2 linked regions of the Macaca fascicularis genome follow. The protein of the gene in region 1 binds, or shares a complex with, the protein of each later gene. Links are inferred from orthologs where the notes say so. Each region holds a gene or a part of one and is shown in the gene's direction. Other genes may lie near its edges.

Region 1 (7,706 bases):
GTGGAGAAAAGGCAACCTGTGAGATTATTCAGTTAAGATGAACTAATTATATTTTAATAAAATTTCATCACACATTTTGCTCATCTTTTTACTGGTTATCTATGAGAATTTTTAGTTATGTCTCTAATGTTAAAGTTCTGCACTGGAGTTATTGTAGTGAGGCTGAAGTTACTACATTATTGCCATCCCTAGAAAATACCTGTTAATACAGCTGTTCTTTAAGGGAAAAAGCAGAGCTCTAAGGTTAAAAACAGCATAACCTCCAGCAGTAGTATGTTTTTGGAAGAACACTGTGTGGATAAATAAGCATATATTATTAAAATTGCTTAAATTGTATCATTTTACTACTCTAGGAGTGTGATGGAAAAAGTGATGTTTTTGCTTCTGTCCTCAGTATGCTTATTATCTAATAGCAAATATTTGCTCTTTGTAATATGTAGCCAAGTGGTAATACTGACTCATGTAATGTTGGGGGAAAAGAGTGAATTTGAGGTGGTAAATCCACTTAGTAGACATTAGATTGGAATGTTAGAACCAGATATGTGGACTTACCTTTTCTCTTTTTTCTTTTCTTTTTTCTTTTTTTTTTTGGAGACAGGGTCTCACTCTGTCACCCAGGCTGGAGTACAGTGGTATGATCACAGCTCACTGAACCCTCGACATCCCAAGGCTCAGGTTATCCTCCTGCCTTCGCCCCCTAAGTAGCTGGGACTACAGATGCACGCCACTACACCCGGCTAATTTTTGTAAATTTAATAGAGACGGGGTTTCACCGTGTTGGCCAGGCTGGTCTCAAATGCCTGGGCTCAAGTGATCCTGCCACCTCAGCTTCCCAAAGTCTTGGGATTACAGGCGTGAGCTACTGTGCCCAGCTGCCTCCTTTTTGGGGGGGTTGGGGGTGGGAGACGGAGTCTCGCTCTGTCACCCAGGCTGGAGTGCAGTGGCACGATCTCAGCTCACTGCAACCTCTGCCTCCCGGGTTCAGGCGATCCTCCTGCCTCAGCTGGAGTAGCTGGTATTACAGGCACGCGCCACCATGCCCAGCTAATTTTTGTATCTTTGTAGAGATGAGATTTCACCGTGTTTGGCTGGCTGGTCTCAAATTCCTGATCTCAGGTGATCCACCCACCTCGACCTTCCAAAGTGCTGGGATTACAGGCATGAGCCACTGCACCCAGCCAGCTGCCCTGTTTTTTCATACACGTCAAAAAGCAGAGTATCCCACAAGATACATGGTTAACTGTTGGTTTACTAAGTTAATGAAACAGTAAGGATAGAGCAAAAAAAATTGAAGAAATAATAATTCGTACTATATAATTTTATTTATTATAATGTTATTTTTTAAAAACATGGGTTGAGTATTTAATTCCAGGTCTCCCCATTGATCAGATTTTTACCAGTTTCTCTTTAAGCATTAGGGAGCTTGCTTCTTGAACATGTAAAGCACCAGTTTATTCTAAGCTTTGGGTACTTCCTTATCATTGCGTATTATTTTTGTCTCAGTTTCAGTACAAGGCCAAAGATATAATTAAGTCTAAGGAAAGAATCCTAAGTGTTTTTCTCCCAGTTCTCCTGGGGACAAGACTGTACTTGGAAGCAAAAAATTGAATCGGACAATGTCAAGTTACAAGTTAGGTGCAAGAAAGAAGTAACAATTTCTCAGAGAAATTCATTACTATCGAGCAAGTTATAACTCTTTACAGTGGTTAATATGTATCTGGCAGTGGTTAGTGTCTGGAACTTTAAATAATCACATTTTTCTTTCATTTCTATTCTGAAAGGTCTTTTGATGTCTGCCATCACAGTTATCATTCTAGTATTATATTTTGTCATTGACACCTTCTGGGTTCAGAAAAGACCATGGCTTGCTGAATGCACACCAATTTATATACAGTACTTTGTGAAGTTCTTCATTATTGGAGTTACGGTTTTAGTGGTCGCAGTGCCAGAAGGTCTTCCACTTGCAGTCACGATCTCACTGGCTTATTCAGTCAAAGTAAGTAGAAAATTGTTCAGTAGACGTTGTTATGTTTAAACCCTTAGCTGGTATAGAAAATGCCCATCTAGTTACTCCTTTTCTGCTTCTGAAAGTGAGGACTTTCATAAACGTACACTATTTTCTCTAGAAATGTTGTCATTGATGCCCTGTACCTCCCACCAGTTGAGTGTCTCTGTAAGAGACCTGTGCATTCCACATAAGGGCAGCCTTGACACAATACTAAGCACGACTCTGCTAGGCACAGTTCTAGCGTGATTTTCGCTACGTGATAGTTATATTGTCAAGTCACGTCACCTCCTCTTTTCCATCTGTAAAATTAAGGTGAGCAAGTTAGGCTCATGTTTCTAAAAATAAAAACAAATTTAAAAATTATGATTTCCATGTGTAAAACCTTTCAGTTAGTTCTCATGACAATTAGAGTAAAATGCAAACTCTTTACCGTGGCCTGCAAGGCCCTGCCAATCTGGCCTTTGTTTACCTGTCTGCTCATTCTCTGCTCCTCTGGCCCAACCTCACCAGTCTTCCTGATGATTTTCAAACATCTCAACTGTATTCTTACTTCAGGGCCCACTTGTTCCTTCCTTTGAGTAACCTGCTCTCTTTCTTTATTCATAAGGTCCCTTCAAGTGTCACCTTCCTCTGACCACTTGATATACAGTAGCTCAGTCCTTCTTGTTCTCCAAGTAGAATACTAAGAGATGAGCTTTGATGGCTTTGCTTACTGCTGTTTACCTTAAAGTAATAATCTTTTGGAAGATTATTAATTTATTTTTATCAATTTTCTATCTTACGGAAAAGGTGGATTGCATTTTTTTTTTTTTTAAACGTAGCTTGGACAATTTTGAACTTTTTTTTTCAAAATGATCTTGCAGGTAAAAAATTATAACCAAACGAAGAATGCTGCTTTTGTAAATTTTCAAATGTTAATTACTAGTTCTCCTTAAGAAACATTGCTGACAGTGAGCAATATTAGTCATCGTTTCTACCTTTCCACTCTTCATTATTAGACCTGTCTTGATAAGAATGTTTTTTGCTTACTGTTTGAGTTTATTTTCTTTTCAGGCATTTAACAACTTTCATTTAAAAAATAAATTGGTAAATGTATCAAAGTGATAAGATATAGTATAATCAGTCATCTATTTGTCCTTTTTTGATATTTTAAAGTAATTTGAAAAATTTGGGGTAAATACAAGTTTTGGACACAGAACAGTCATTTTACCAAACTGTCATTAGTTCATTTTGAGTAGTCATTAATGATACTAATTTTTTAATTGATTAGAACGATACTGGTAGGATTGATGTATGTTTTTGGAATATAAAATTAGTAAGAACAAGTTAACTACTTTTTTAAGCCTTTCTTAAATGTTTATCTAGCTCTAATGTTACCAATTACTGTTCTTTTCACAGAGGTATAGTCTTTATGGATTCTCTGTTAGTGTTTCACAAAACTGAACATGGTTTCTTTACTGCAAAACTTCATTCTTCTCAACTTTAATATGTAAATCACAAGTAATTTAGGAAGTGCGCATCTGTTTTTCACGTATTTTTTCAAGGAACCAATTTTTTTGCAGTATCTTGCATATTAGTCATCACAGAAAACACTTTGTAAAATAACTTCATATAGTTTTTAACCCATTCCACATTAAGTGCTGAGAACTAATTATAAGGTATTTTGGCTTAAATGCCCTGTGAAACTACTGTGAAAACTGTTGGTTTTTTAGAAATGATTTTTTCTGTTGTAAATGAGAGAAAGAAGTGAGACACAGTTTGCTGCTAAGGATGAAAATGCCAAGTCTGCCAGCATATAGAATAGCTAAAAAATGACTCATTCTAGTTTTGATATGTTAACTCTTTTAGAATTAATAATAAAAATATCAAGCAATTACATACCCACAAGCTCTTTATTTTAGCTGATAAAGGCCATTTTTTCCTTGGAACTGATGTAAGAATCTTTTGTTTTCCACTTAATAGGGAGGCTTAATCCTTTAATATACTCTTACACTACTATAAGTACCACTATACAGATTGTCATTGCTCTTGTAATGTGAGGACATTTTGCAAAAACCGTTGGAGACATATATTCAGTGTTATTTGTTTATGGATGCAGGTGCCTGAACTGACTTACTAGGTTATGTTATGCAGCAATAAAATGATTGAAACCCCAGAAAGCTCTAGCATTGTGTTTAGCTTATTTTAATAGGTCAAATATGCTAAAAAAAAAAAAAAAAAATTTTAGTATTACATTGGTACTTTATACATTGTATTTATAGAAAGCTGGGAGTTTTAGTTCTAATTTTAAAACAATTTGTAATCATTTTAATGTAATGAGGTGATTGGTTTTATATGCAGCTTAACTTTTTTTTTTTTTTAATGTAGAAAATGATGAAAGATAATAACTTAGTAAGGCATCTGGATGCTTGTGAAACCATGGGAAATGCTACAGCTATTTGTTCAGATAAAACAGGAACTTTGACAATGAACAGAATGACAGTTGTTCAAGCTTACATAAATGAAAAACATTATAAAAAGGTTCCTGAGCCAGAAGCTATTCCACCAAATATTTTGTCCTATCTTGTAACAGGAATTTCTGTGAATTGTGCTTATACATCAAAAATATTGGTAAGGTTTTTGAAATAATTTATGTATATAAAAATTAATTTTTAAATCTATAATGATGGGACTATATGTAAGTCTTCAGACCCACCATTACTGTATGTAAAGTAAACTGAACTGTGTTAAGTTTTTAAAAGGCATATATTTATTTATATAATGGTTTTTAAATTTGTGTTATGAGTGAGATCTGCTGATCAACATAAACATTGTTTACTTACGTTTTTCTCCTCCTATATTTTGAATTTCCTGTGTTCAGAAACTCTCCACCCTTATAAGCAGAACATGTATTTAATTTTAAATTCTTGTTAAACTCATTTTTGAGAAAGATCAAGCTGTCTTACCATAGTAGGTCAGCTCTCAACTTAGAGAAAATTTTGAAGCCTGATTTCAACTTAAAATAACATGTTTTATATATGCTTGCCATGTGCTCTGTTTGGTTTCTCAGTAGTTCCTACCTAAAAGGTGGTGCTTAGAAACCTTGGTAGAACTAATGCAGTAAAGTAATTCTAGACATGTGCCACCATATAAAACAAAATTTTCAACTTTACAAGTTTTAGAAATCTTATTTGTAACAGAAAGCATACAATGTTATGTTTGACTTAATCTCTTCTAGTGATTTATGGATGAAAATCATTAACAAAAACAATATTGCATGCTGTTCATTAGGGAAAACATACATGAATTGGATGATTGCATTGGAAAGTTATGGGATCTTGGTTCTAGATCTGACTTTGCCTTTTACTAGCTGAAAGTCTGAGCTACCTTCTTTAATTACTGAGTAAAGATGATCACGTCGGCCCTTAATCCCATTGTGATGATTATGTAAGGTGGTATTTCTGAAGGCACTGTGAAGGAAATAAAGCTTCTCACTGCATTTAAGAGAACAATATTTTAATGCATGTACTTTTAATCCATAAAAATTGGTAAAGTAGATTTAATTTTGAATGATTTAGTACTAAAGTTAAGTGAAAACAGGAAAAGGGAATTAAAATTAAGTTCCACTCTGTATTAGGAACCAACTATAAACTTTATACATCTTATATCATTTAATTTTGGGGTCATAAGTGCTCCTGTTTTACAGACGCTGAAGCCAAGGACCACAGCAGTTGGGCAATTGTCAAATTTCATGTAGCTAGTAACTGGCAGGACTGAGATTAGAATCCATGTCATTCTCACCCCAGGCTCCTTTCTACCTTACTTTTCTGTGTCCTCCTTTAAAATGTTGATATTAGACAATTGTTCTGTAATTTTATTTTAGAATGTCGCATTCTGTTTTACATTATAAATTAAATGTTCATAGAGAAACAAGATGATACTAGCTACTAAACCTTTTTCTCTTACAGCCCCCAGAGAAAGAGGGTGGATTACCTCGTCACGTTGGTAATAAAACTGAATGTGCCTTGTTGGGACTTCTTTTGGATTTAAAACGGGATTATCAGGATGTTAGAAATGAAATACCGGAAGAAGCACTGTACAAAGTCTACACCTTCAATTCTGTTAGGAAATCCATGAGTACTGTTCTGAAAAATTCAGATGGAAGTTACCGAATATTCAGCAAGGGCGCATCTGAGATAATTCTGAAAAAGTAAGAGTAAAATGCTTAGATGAATAAATTGCTGACTATAGTTGCTTTATGGAATATTTACTGTATTGTTGTTGTTGTTGTCTTCTTTTTGTGAACATCAGGCATTTGATAGGACTTCAGAGCTTTTTAGCATATTTTATGGTATCCAGATATTTGCCCCTGCTATTCTGCCATTTTCACACTCTAGCTTCTCTTATTTCTTAGTATTTTACTATAGGGAAAATAAACCCATTACATTCAGTCTGGTATGTTTAATGATGTATAGTTTGATGTTTATTTTTAGAAGTTGATTTACTTGTTATTTAATATGTAGAATCTTGAAAAAACCTCCTGGGAAGAAAATTAAGTTTATGTCTCTTTTTTGTTTGTTTGTTTGTTTAAGATGGAGGTTCCCTGTATCACCCAGGCTGGAATGCAGTGGTGCCATTTCAGCTCACTTCATCCTCTGCCCCTGGGTTCAAGGGATTCTCCTGCCTCAGCCTCCCAAGTAACTGGGATTACAGGCACCTCCCACCACACCTGGCTAAGTTTTGTATTTTTAGTAGAGTCAGGGTTTCACCATGTTGGCCAGGCTGGTCTTGAACTCCTGACCTCAAGTAATCTGCCTGTGTTGGCCTCCCAAAGTGCTGGGATTACAGACGTGAGTCACTGCACCTGGCCTCAAGTTTAGATCTTCAGCGCTCATTGTGGTTACTGGATTCTGAATGTGATACGAGAATTATGGAGTAATTTTTAGAATAGCAAAGCATAAAAGCTGGATCTTGAAAATTCCCCATTTATATCAAAATGAGATTTATCATATTTATGCGGCTGCAGTGTCATATTTAAATACTCCTGTCATTTTGAATACTAATTTTTCTTTCTTGCTGTCCTTTTACAGACCAGTAGCTTTAATTTTGCTGTAACATGCTCACATATATTTCTCCTGATGTTTATTTGATATTAAAGGTGGTAAAATTATTTTGGTTTCTTTAATTCCATTAAAGAAGTAGAGAACTGGTTTAAAAAAAAATACTGGTGTAGAGCAATTTGGGAAAATTGGAACTCATTTGAAATTATAGTATTTAAAATATTAAAGTAAATATTTAAAATATACTTTTAATTTGCTTACATGTGGATTATAAGCCAGTATTATCTTAATGAACACTTTACAATTAGTTTAAGAGACAAATATATAAATAAATAACTGAAGGCAGCATATAATAAATTGGTACAAAGCTTTTGGGTGAGAGATCATACTGTAGGGATGGGGCATTTAAGATAGGTTTTGGTATGAAATGAGAACTTTGAGGTTAGGGAAACCACAGCAGGTCGTATTTGGGAGGGGAATATCTGGTTGTATAGTTCAGGTGAATAGTGATGGGCTTTTGTGGCACACAGGCCGTATAGAGCTTTCTTCTTGCCCCAGTACACTCAGTTACCTGATTTCATTGTAAAAGGTTAGAAATTTGTTTCATCCCTGGCTTGTGGGTAGTAGATAGATGGTTTAGAAGAGAATTTTTTTTCATC
Region 2 (7,806 bases), on another chromosome or scaffold:
GTTGAGGCACGAGAATCTCTTGAACCTGGGAGGTGCAGGTTGCAGTGAGCCGAGATCCCGCCACTGCACTCCAGCCTGGGCCACAGAACAAGACTCCATCTCAAAAAAAAAAAAAAAAAAAAGTTACAGAATTATTAAAAGGTCTTAGTTATTATGTATTTTCTCAACAAAAAGTGACGAAGTACAGCTACTATCATGTGGAATTTGAAGACATTTCTCTCTGGGCAAAAGGGCTTTTCATAAGTGCAGGTTTTGAGAGTTGACTGGTAACACCCATACTTAAAAATATTCCTCCCAGATCACTTTTTGAAAGCATGAGATAAGAAGAATACAAAGCTGGAGTCAGAATTGCAGCATCATCATCAACATCAACATGAGTGTTTACTATGCACCAGAAACTGTTCTAAACATCACACATAAATCTACTAATTTATTGCTTCTATAAACTTGTAAGGCAGGTGCTATCATTAGCACCATTTGACAGAAAATAAGGTCCAGAGAGATTAGGTCACTTGCCTAAGATGACACAGCTCCTGGATGGTAGGTGTTGTGGTGTTGTGGACTTGAATTTCATCTTTCCCTTAGCCGGAACAGTCTATGTTATGTCACAGGAACAAATACCCCTTGAATCTCACAGTTTAATTCAACAGAGGGTACCTGTTCTGTATGGGTTAGCAGAGGGGTTCAGCTTATTATGCTAACTCAGGGACTAATGCTGACATAAGGTTCTTTTTGATATGCGCTTTCATTGTCATGATCAGTAATCACTACCAAGACAAAAGAGTATGGAACAGAGTCTAAACATGCATTGCTTCTGCTTGAAAGCAATGCATGTCACTTTACACATTTCACTGACCCAAGCACATCACATGCCACTCCCGACTTCAAGGCGACAAGAAAATGCACTTCCACCATGAGCCTATTAACAAGCAAACCAGACTGTTTGGCATTAATGATTAATACAAACATTCTCAGAGCTGGAGCCATTCGTGTCCTCCCTTGGCTTCAGCTTCCCTATTCACAAAAATAGCATGATCATTTTGTAAGAATCTCTTGTTGTAAGGATCAAAGGGCCATATTTGTTACAGCTATAATGAGGCGGAATGGTTGCATCCAACCAAAGCTTCCATCAGCTGAAAATATTGATCCCACCACAGGCAGCCCTGTAGCCCTCCTTACAGGGCTGTCTGCAGAATGGCCTTTGTCCAGAGGAAGGTACATGCCAATCTTTTCGTCACTCACACACCTCAGGTTTTGAAAGATACAGTTTTCACTTCAATCGACAACATGCCATAGTGGTCCTGGCCCTTGCTGGAAAGTTTGCTCTGGAACCACAAGCTGGTTGTTGAAAGCTCCAGACCACTTTAGCTTGACAGAGATTGCGAGGGTCTCTTTCTTCTAGGTCCTCCAAACCCTCTCTTTAAATCAAGTCAGGCCACCAGGACTGTTTACTTGGCTCCTCGGAGATGCCACAGACACTCCCAGGACGTCTGCTGTGAGTCAGGGAAGAGCTAAGCCATAGAACTTTGCCAACCACAAGCGCTGAGGGTAGTACAAAAAATACCCCTAAAAAGAGCATTTCCTAAACTTCTATGCAAACAGTAGTAACCACACTGCCAATCACCCTCCAGAATGCTTTGCTAGATCCTTTCCTATGGGCCATTTGACCCTTCCTCACTCCTCTGCTAGCCTAGGCAAGGCACTCCATGAGGGCGGGGACTATCTTTTCATGTGGGTTTCACTTTGCGCCTGGCACACAGCACGTTCTCAATAAAGTTTCCCGCATTAAGACGCTTCTCAGGAGTCTTCATGTAAGTTCATATATGATGACTTCCTTGTAGAATTGTGTCTATGAACATGCAATTAGGCTAGTTGAACTTTAGGCCCTTAGAGTCTATAAGCTAAAATAAGGCCCAGATGGGGGTGGGGAGGAGGAGTAGGCAGAAGCGGAAAAGGAAGACATTTCAGGCAAAGGGAGCAGATGTCCAGCAGGAAGGCACAAGGTAACAGGGGGCACGGGGGGCGCACCACTTTTCCTGGAAGGAAAAAACAGCAGATGAGAGAAGGAGTTGGAGCCAGTTACCAGTAGAGGTCTATGTTCAAAGTCCAGAAGGAAGAAACAGCAGGGCAGGGGACAATGAGAGGAAGAATGAGAGGAAGGAGGAAAGGAGGCACGGTGTATTAAACTCTGCAGCCAAGAGCGCTAACAAATGAAAGGCAGGATGGGTGGAGGAAATGTACTGTGTTTCAAAGCTTCCTCTTATTTATGGGTGCGCCTGGGCCACAGAGGAGTAAACCGAACGAGGGCTTCCCGGTTCCCCACCGCCCGCAGAGCTGGCGGAGTCCCGCCTCGCCCCGTCACATGGCCAGAGGCGCCCTCGGCACGTGACCTACCTCGCGCTAGGCCAATCAGCCTCTGCAGGGGCGGGTCCGCCGGGTCCGCGGGGCGGGAGTCTCCATCGGGGCCGCCTCTTCTCGCGAGCCTTGCGGCGGTCGCTCCTCAGCCGCCCACGACCCGGAGCGAAGGTCTCGCGAGGCTTGGGCGCTGCGGCGGCAGGAGGAGGACGGGGAAGGACGGAGCCGAGCCGCGGCTTCCTCCCTCGCTCACTCCCTCGCGCGCTAGCCCGCCCCCTCCCTCCCTCCCCTCCCTTCCCCGGCCCCGGCTCTGGCCCCGGCCCATTCACTGTTGGGTCTTCTGCTAGGAGGATGTCGGGCTCGTCGCTGCCCAGCGCCCTGGCCCTCTCGCTGTTGCTGGTTTCTGGCTCCCTCCTCCCAGGGCCAGGCGCCGCTCAGAACGGTAAGCCGGGCGCCGGGGGCGGGCCGGGCGGGGGCTGAGGGGCGCCGGGGCCGGAGAGGGCCCGGCTCTGGCCCGAGGGGAAGCTGGAGCTCGGAGAAGGGTGCCGAGTGGGCGTCTGAGGGGCTGCGGGTCGGAGAGGAGGAGGTACCGGCCGCGGGTTTGAGGAGGCGCCCGTCCGAGCGGCGGGGGCGTCCAGGGAGAGCCCGAGGTGTTGCCGACTTGGGGGCTCCAAGTCGTGGGGCTCGTCGTGCCGGGTCGGCGAGGGGACACGGAGGAAGCCGACGTGAGGAGCTGGAGTAGCGGGGGCGGATGAGGAGGGGGCACAGCTCTTAGGGAGGGTGGCACAAGACGGGCGTTTGTGTTCCGGGCGACGGGGATGGTGGTGTCGGTCAGGCCCCCTGGGAGCTGGGGTCGTCCAGGATTCTACTGAGGCCCCGTAGGACTGGTGACATCCTTAAAAATAAGGGAGAAATTGGGGGGAAGAGAGTCCTGAAGCACACTAATGGTGAGCTGAGTACTAGATACCAAAGGAGGGGGTAAAGAATCAGGGAACCTTGGATCTGGGGATAGAGGGAGGGTGGGTGGGAAGATAAGGGAGTGGGTTGACTGCAGTAGGGGACCTGGAGAGAGAAGCAGCAGTATCTCCAAATGAGCTGGGGGAAGAGGGCTGGGTTTGCTAAAGAGGGTGGAGTGCTGGGCATTCTAGGGTAGTGGTTGGGAGAGCAAAAAGGAGTTTCTAAATAAGGAGAGGAAAATGAGCAGAGGATGGAGGGAAAGGGTTGGAACTGAGGTGGGGGAATATTTATTAGAGAAGTAAGGAGGCCTAGGTATAGAGATGGGGGTGGGGGAGACGAAAAATAAGGGAAGGGAGTAAAATGCAGGAAGTCGGGGGTGTAATGTTGGTTTGCAGTGTGGAGGATAAATTAGGGAAGGGAGGAGTTGGTATGTGGCAAATGCTGTATGATATTGGTCGGGCCTTTGGGAAGACAGGGACACATAGCTGCAACTAACTGCAGTGGTGGGATTGAGGGCAGTGACTGGCAACAGGGAGATGGGGAAGTGGATTTTTGAGATTTAAAAGTTTCAATACAGAAAAGATGTTATTTCCGAGGAACCTGAAAGTGGCCCCTGGGAGGTGGTACAGTAGAAACGAGAGAATTACTGGGTTTTGAATTGAAGCTCCTTTGAGAAGAAGGAGAAATGGTGGGGAATCATGGGCATAGGGATCTAAACAGAACAGATTCTGATTGAAGGCATGTGTTACCATTCAGCTGCTGAATTGATCTTTCAGAAGTGAGTCTAGGATTGTGAACCTGTTTCTGCCCTTGTGGAAACAGCCGTTAAGAGGTTAAAGAATATTTTTTCTGTGAAGGAATTTATGAGAAGTCAGTACTGGAGAATGAACTATAAATTATTTTTGCTAATCTTTCAGTGTTTATTGTTATGCTAGAACAATTTAAGATTACTCTTATTAGAGAGGCTGCAATTTAAATTTTAAAGCATCAGTGATAGAGCCAGTGGAGGTTTTTGAGAAACTGAGTTTAAAATGCTGAATGTTAGAGGGAAAATATATAAATAAAAGATTGACATTATCCATCAGTTAAATATGTGTTTGTAGTACCAAATTTTATGTATGCTTCATGGCCTTGGATATCACTGCAGGCGTCAGGAAGGAAACATTTTTTCTATCTCTAGCATTGAATATGCTAAGTGTATTGGGTATTTTTCCTGTTTTCCTCTAAGTATGATGAGTCCACTGTGGAAGGCAGGGTAGAGTTAGTCTTAATTTGTCTTATCAGTTTTTCGACTGTGTCAACAACATGACTTAAAGAAGCCTAATGCTAATTTTAGCTATTCAGTTTATGGTAATAGCATAGTTTCATTTTGCACAATAGGTGAGAGATTCTTGATCTTAACGTGTTTAATCTCTGCTGGCATAGCTTTTTTCCAATGACTTATAATACGGTAAAATTGTAGTTTCTTAGCAACTAAAGCGAGGTTTCTGGATAGGCCTATAAAGACTCATCTGTCTGCTCAGTGATATGTGTTCTAAATACAGCATAGAACGGCCTTTCCCTTGAAATGAGCTTGAATTCAGTCACATGACATGACCGATGAAATGAAGCTGAGCTGCTGGTTGACCCAAATGAATGTAAATTTAATTCAAGGAAAAATGGCTATTTTTGAGTTTGAGTTCGTATAGTTAAGGATGCCATTTTATAGCTTTCTATAACATGTCTTATTATAATATTCACGCTTTCATTTAGTAATAAATAGCCCTGCAGTGATCTAACTTCATGTCATGGGGTTTGTATTTTCTTACAGTACTTTCAAAAAGGGATACCTTGTTTGTGCATGATGTTGAAATGTTAGAAATGTTAGATTTTCTATTTAAATGATTGGAGGAAAAAAAACTCACAAGTGTCTCTGAATCGGAAATGTAGTAGTTTAGGTTGAATATAGATGTTTTTCAAAAGATGTTTGTTTTATTATTCCTAAAATGAAGAATTTGGCCTGTATGACTCTCGAGGTCTCTTGAAGCTCCAGTGAGTTTCTGACCCATTGCTGTGGGCATTCAGGGCTTTCATTCAGATTTTGTTTCTCGTCCAGATATTTAAACTTGTAAGACCGGTTCCAAGTAAAATCCTTATTTGTTGACTTTTATATGTATCATCTAAATGGTAGTTTAAAGAAGGAACTTGTTCTAAAAAGTAACCTTATAAGACATTCAAAAGTATTGGACTGCAATTGAGTGAGTGTAAACAAAGCAGTATAATATGATAATCAGGAGTGCATGCTTTGGACAGTAACAGACTCAAGTTTGAGTTCCAGCTCTCAGTAGCTGAGTGACCTTGAGTAATGCAAACTTCAGTTTCATCATCTGTAAAATGGGAATTGCAATAAGGTCCATTCCCTAGGGATGATGTGAGGTTTATTAAATGAGGTAATGGCAGCTTAGCGCTTAACCTGGAATATTGTGAGTCTCAGTACATGTTAGCTATTACTATTATCCTTTAAAGAGTAGCATTATTTATTATTTATTTTTCTTCATGTGTATATTGAAAACTTGATTGTTAATGCTGCTGTCATGGTAACTAGGCCATTTGAAGGCCCCACATAGAGATTTGTGCTTTTGCTTATGTAACTTTCTCAGAAAAGTGACCAGCTGCACTGTGTCTGCAATTGCCAATTCTGGTGAGGAAGTTAATATTTTCAGTTGAGTTTCTGGGAGAGACTTTATGGCTTTGTTTTTTTCTTCTTTTTTTTTTTTTTTCAGTGAACCAAATCTTTCAAATGGGCCAGGTATCACTTTCTCATAGAATATTATTGTTGTGAATAAGAGAAATAGAATGTGGTGCCCAGCACACAGTGGGAGTGTTATAGATGTTAGTTGAATTAATAAATGTGGAGTGGTGTGTAAAAATGTAATATATTCATATGGAAAATATGACATCACATAATTAACACTGTTCAATGGAGGAAAATAGGGAATCTAATGAATCTTACTTTTAACGACCTAAATTTTAGAAACCATTTTGCTTGGGTGATACTAGATAGTTGTGAACTTTGTGCTTTGTAATAATGCCAGTATTTGCATTAGATGATTCATGGATCTTTTTCTCTTCTGTCAAGGGCTGTTTGCTTCAGTGGTTTGGCAATTTTTTCTCCCTGAGTACATTTTTAGAGGTATATTTGCTAATTGATTTTGTGTCTTCTCTTTGAGCTGAAATGAGCAACAGAAGACAAATCTTATCTACGGCAGCTGTGGCACAAATGACGTGCCAAATGTCAAGCAAAAAATTTTGAGATAATCCAAATAAGATTTGACCAGAAGAAATAGTTTGCCTTGAAATAAAGCCCTTCCTAAGGAGATCACAGGCTTTCAGTCTCTCAGGCTACTGGCTAAACTGTCACTACTGATATAATGGAGCACCCAGGCATGAGAAATTGGTTGGGTCTGGGAGGATAGGCCATGTTACTACATCAGGACCCATTCCCTGGGTTTGTTTTACAAGGTTACTGGATCCAAATTAGAAAGAGATACAGATGGGTTTTTATGTTGCCAGACGCAGTAGAGCTTAACCTGTGAATATACCAAGATTTAAAACCACAAAAGGAAATAAAAACCCTTAAATGTCAGGTTGGAATTCATTACAGGTCTGACTTCGCATGATACAGATCCTTATGAGAAATTAGACTGTTTTGAGGGAATCCCTTTGTTTTTTCTCATTAATACAGATCTGATGTGAAACAGTTTCTTTTGTGGATTATACCTTTAGACATTAATAAAAAGCAACATTATATTATCTTTATTTAAACGTTAAAATAAAGTTTAAATAAAAATAGTTATTTAAATTAAAAGAAAGATTTAATTGGACCTTGAAAGGTGACCAAATATAATTAGAAAAATGCTCTGTCAGTTTGAACATTGTTTTTCATTAGTCTGAGGTACTTTTTAAAAGTAAGATGTTTTGTGTGTAAACTCTGAAACTTTGCTGGATCTGTTTGTAAAGGTTTTTTACAAAGATTCGGGAAGGAGATAAAGTGCTAATATCTATTAAAATGAAGTATGTAGAAAAACAGTGAGTGGCCATGTTGGATACCATACAAGAGATGTTCAACAAAAGTTTGAATAAAATTATGCAAAGTAGTTTTGGAAAAGTGAATTTTATGAAAATTGTTCTGATGTATTCTATTCAATTTATTGTTTGCAGTGAGAGTACAATCTGACAGGATCAGAAGTAGAGAATGAAGTTGTAAGAGAAAGGGAAAGACAGAAGAAAGGCTGCAGTAGTACAAGGATGCAAGAATGAGGAATGAATCTTCGTTTGAGGAACATCCGGAAAAATAGAATCTGTCAGAAAGAGTAAATAGACCAGGGACCTCTAAAGTAAATTTGCACATCAAAGTTAAAATAATGGTGGAGAATCACCTCCTGTGAACAATTGGCTTAGCTTTCAGTATGCCTCTTTAAACAAAACATTATCATTTTATACGAATTTTTAAAA

Evidence for each region. Proteins that work in one complex are often made in the same cells at the same time.
Region 2: the proteins of ATP2B1 (region 1) and NPTN are in contact, whole or in part, in a cryo-EM structure (PDB 6A69), measured with the Homo sapiens proteins. The link is inferred for Macaca fascicularis from reciprocal best matches to the Homo sapiens genes ATP2B1 and NPTN. Residues at the interface, in NP_001353449.1 of Homo sapiens: Phe954, Asp955, Ile956, Asp957, Glu996, Arg997, Asn998, Val999, Glu1039, Gln1040, Leu1042, Trp1043, Ile1045, Phe1046, Met1049, Gly1050, Leu1052, Leu1053, Gln1056; in NP_036560.1 of Homo sapiens: Arg245, Ser246, Asn248, Arg332, Arg334, Pro339, Pro342, Phe343, Gly345, Ile346, Glu349, Ile350, Ile352, Leu353, Ile356, Ile357, Tyr360.

Annotation. Positions count from the first base shown.
Region 1 is NC_088385.1:96,592,106-96,599,811, reverse strand, and holds part of ATP2B1 (plasma membrane calcium-transporting ATPase 1), read left to right. Parts: intron 1-1,781; coding exon 1,782-1,996; intron 1,997-4,375; coding exon 4,376-4,618; intron 4,619-5,955; coding exon 5,956-6,197; intron 6,198-7,706. UniProt on the Homo sapiens protein: Catalyzes the hydrolysis of ATP coupled with the transport of calcium from the cytoplasm to the extracellular space thereby maintaining intracellular calcium homeostasis.
Region 2 is NC_088381.1:50,553,129-50,560,934, reverse strand, and holds the start of NPTN (neuroplastin), read left to right. Parts: upstream 1-2,533; 5' UTR 2,534-2,706; coding exon 2,707-2,797; intron 2,798-2,826; exon of another isoform or gene 2,827-3,080; intron 3,081-7,512; exon of another isoform or gene 7,513-7,806. UniProt on the Homo sapiens protein: Probable homophilic and heterophilic cell adhesion molecule involved in long term potentiation at hippocampal excitatory synapses through activation of p38MAPK. May also regulate neurite outgrowth by activating the FGFR1 signaling pathway.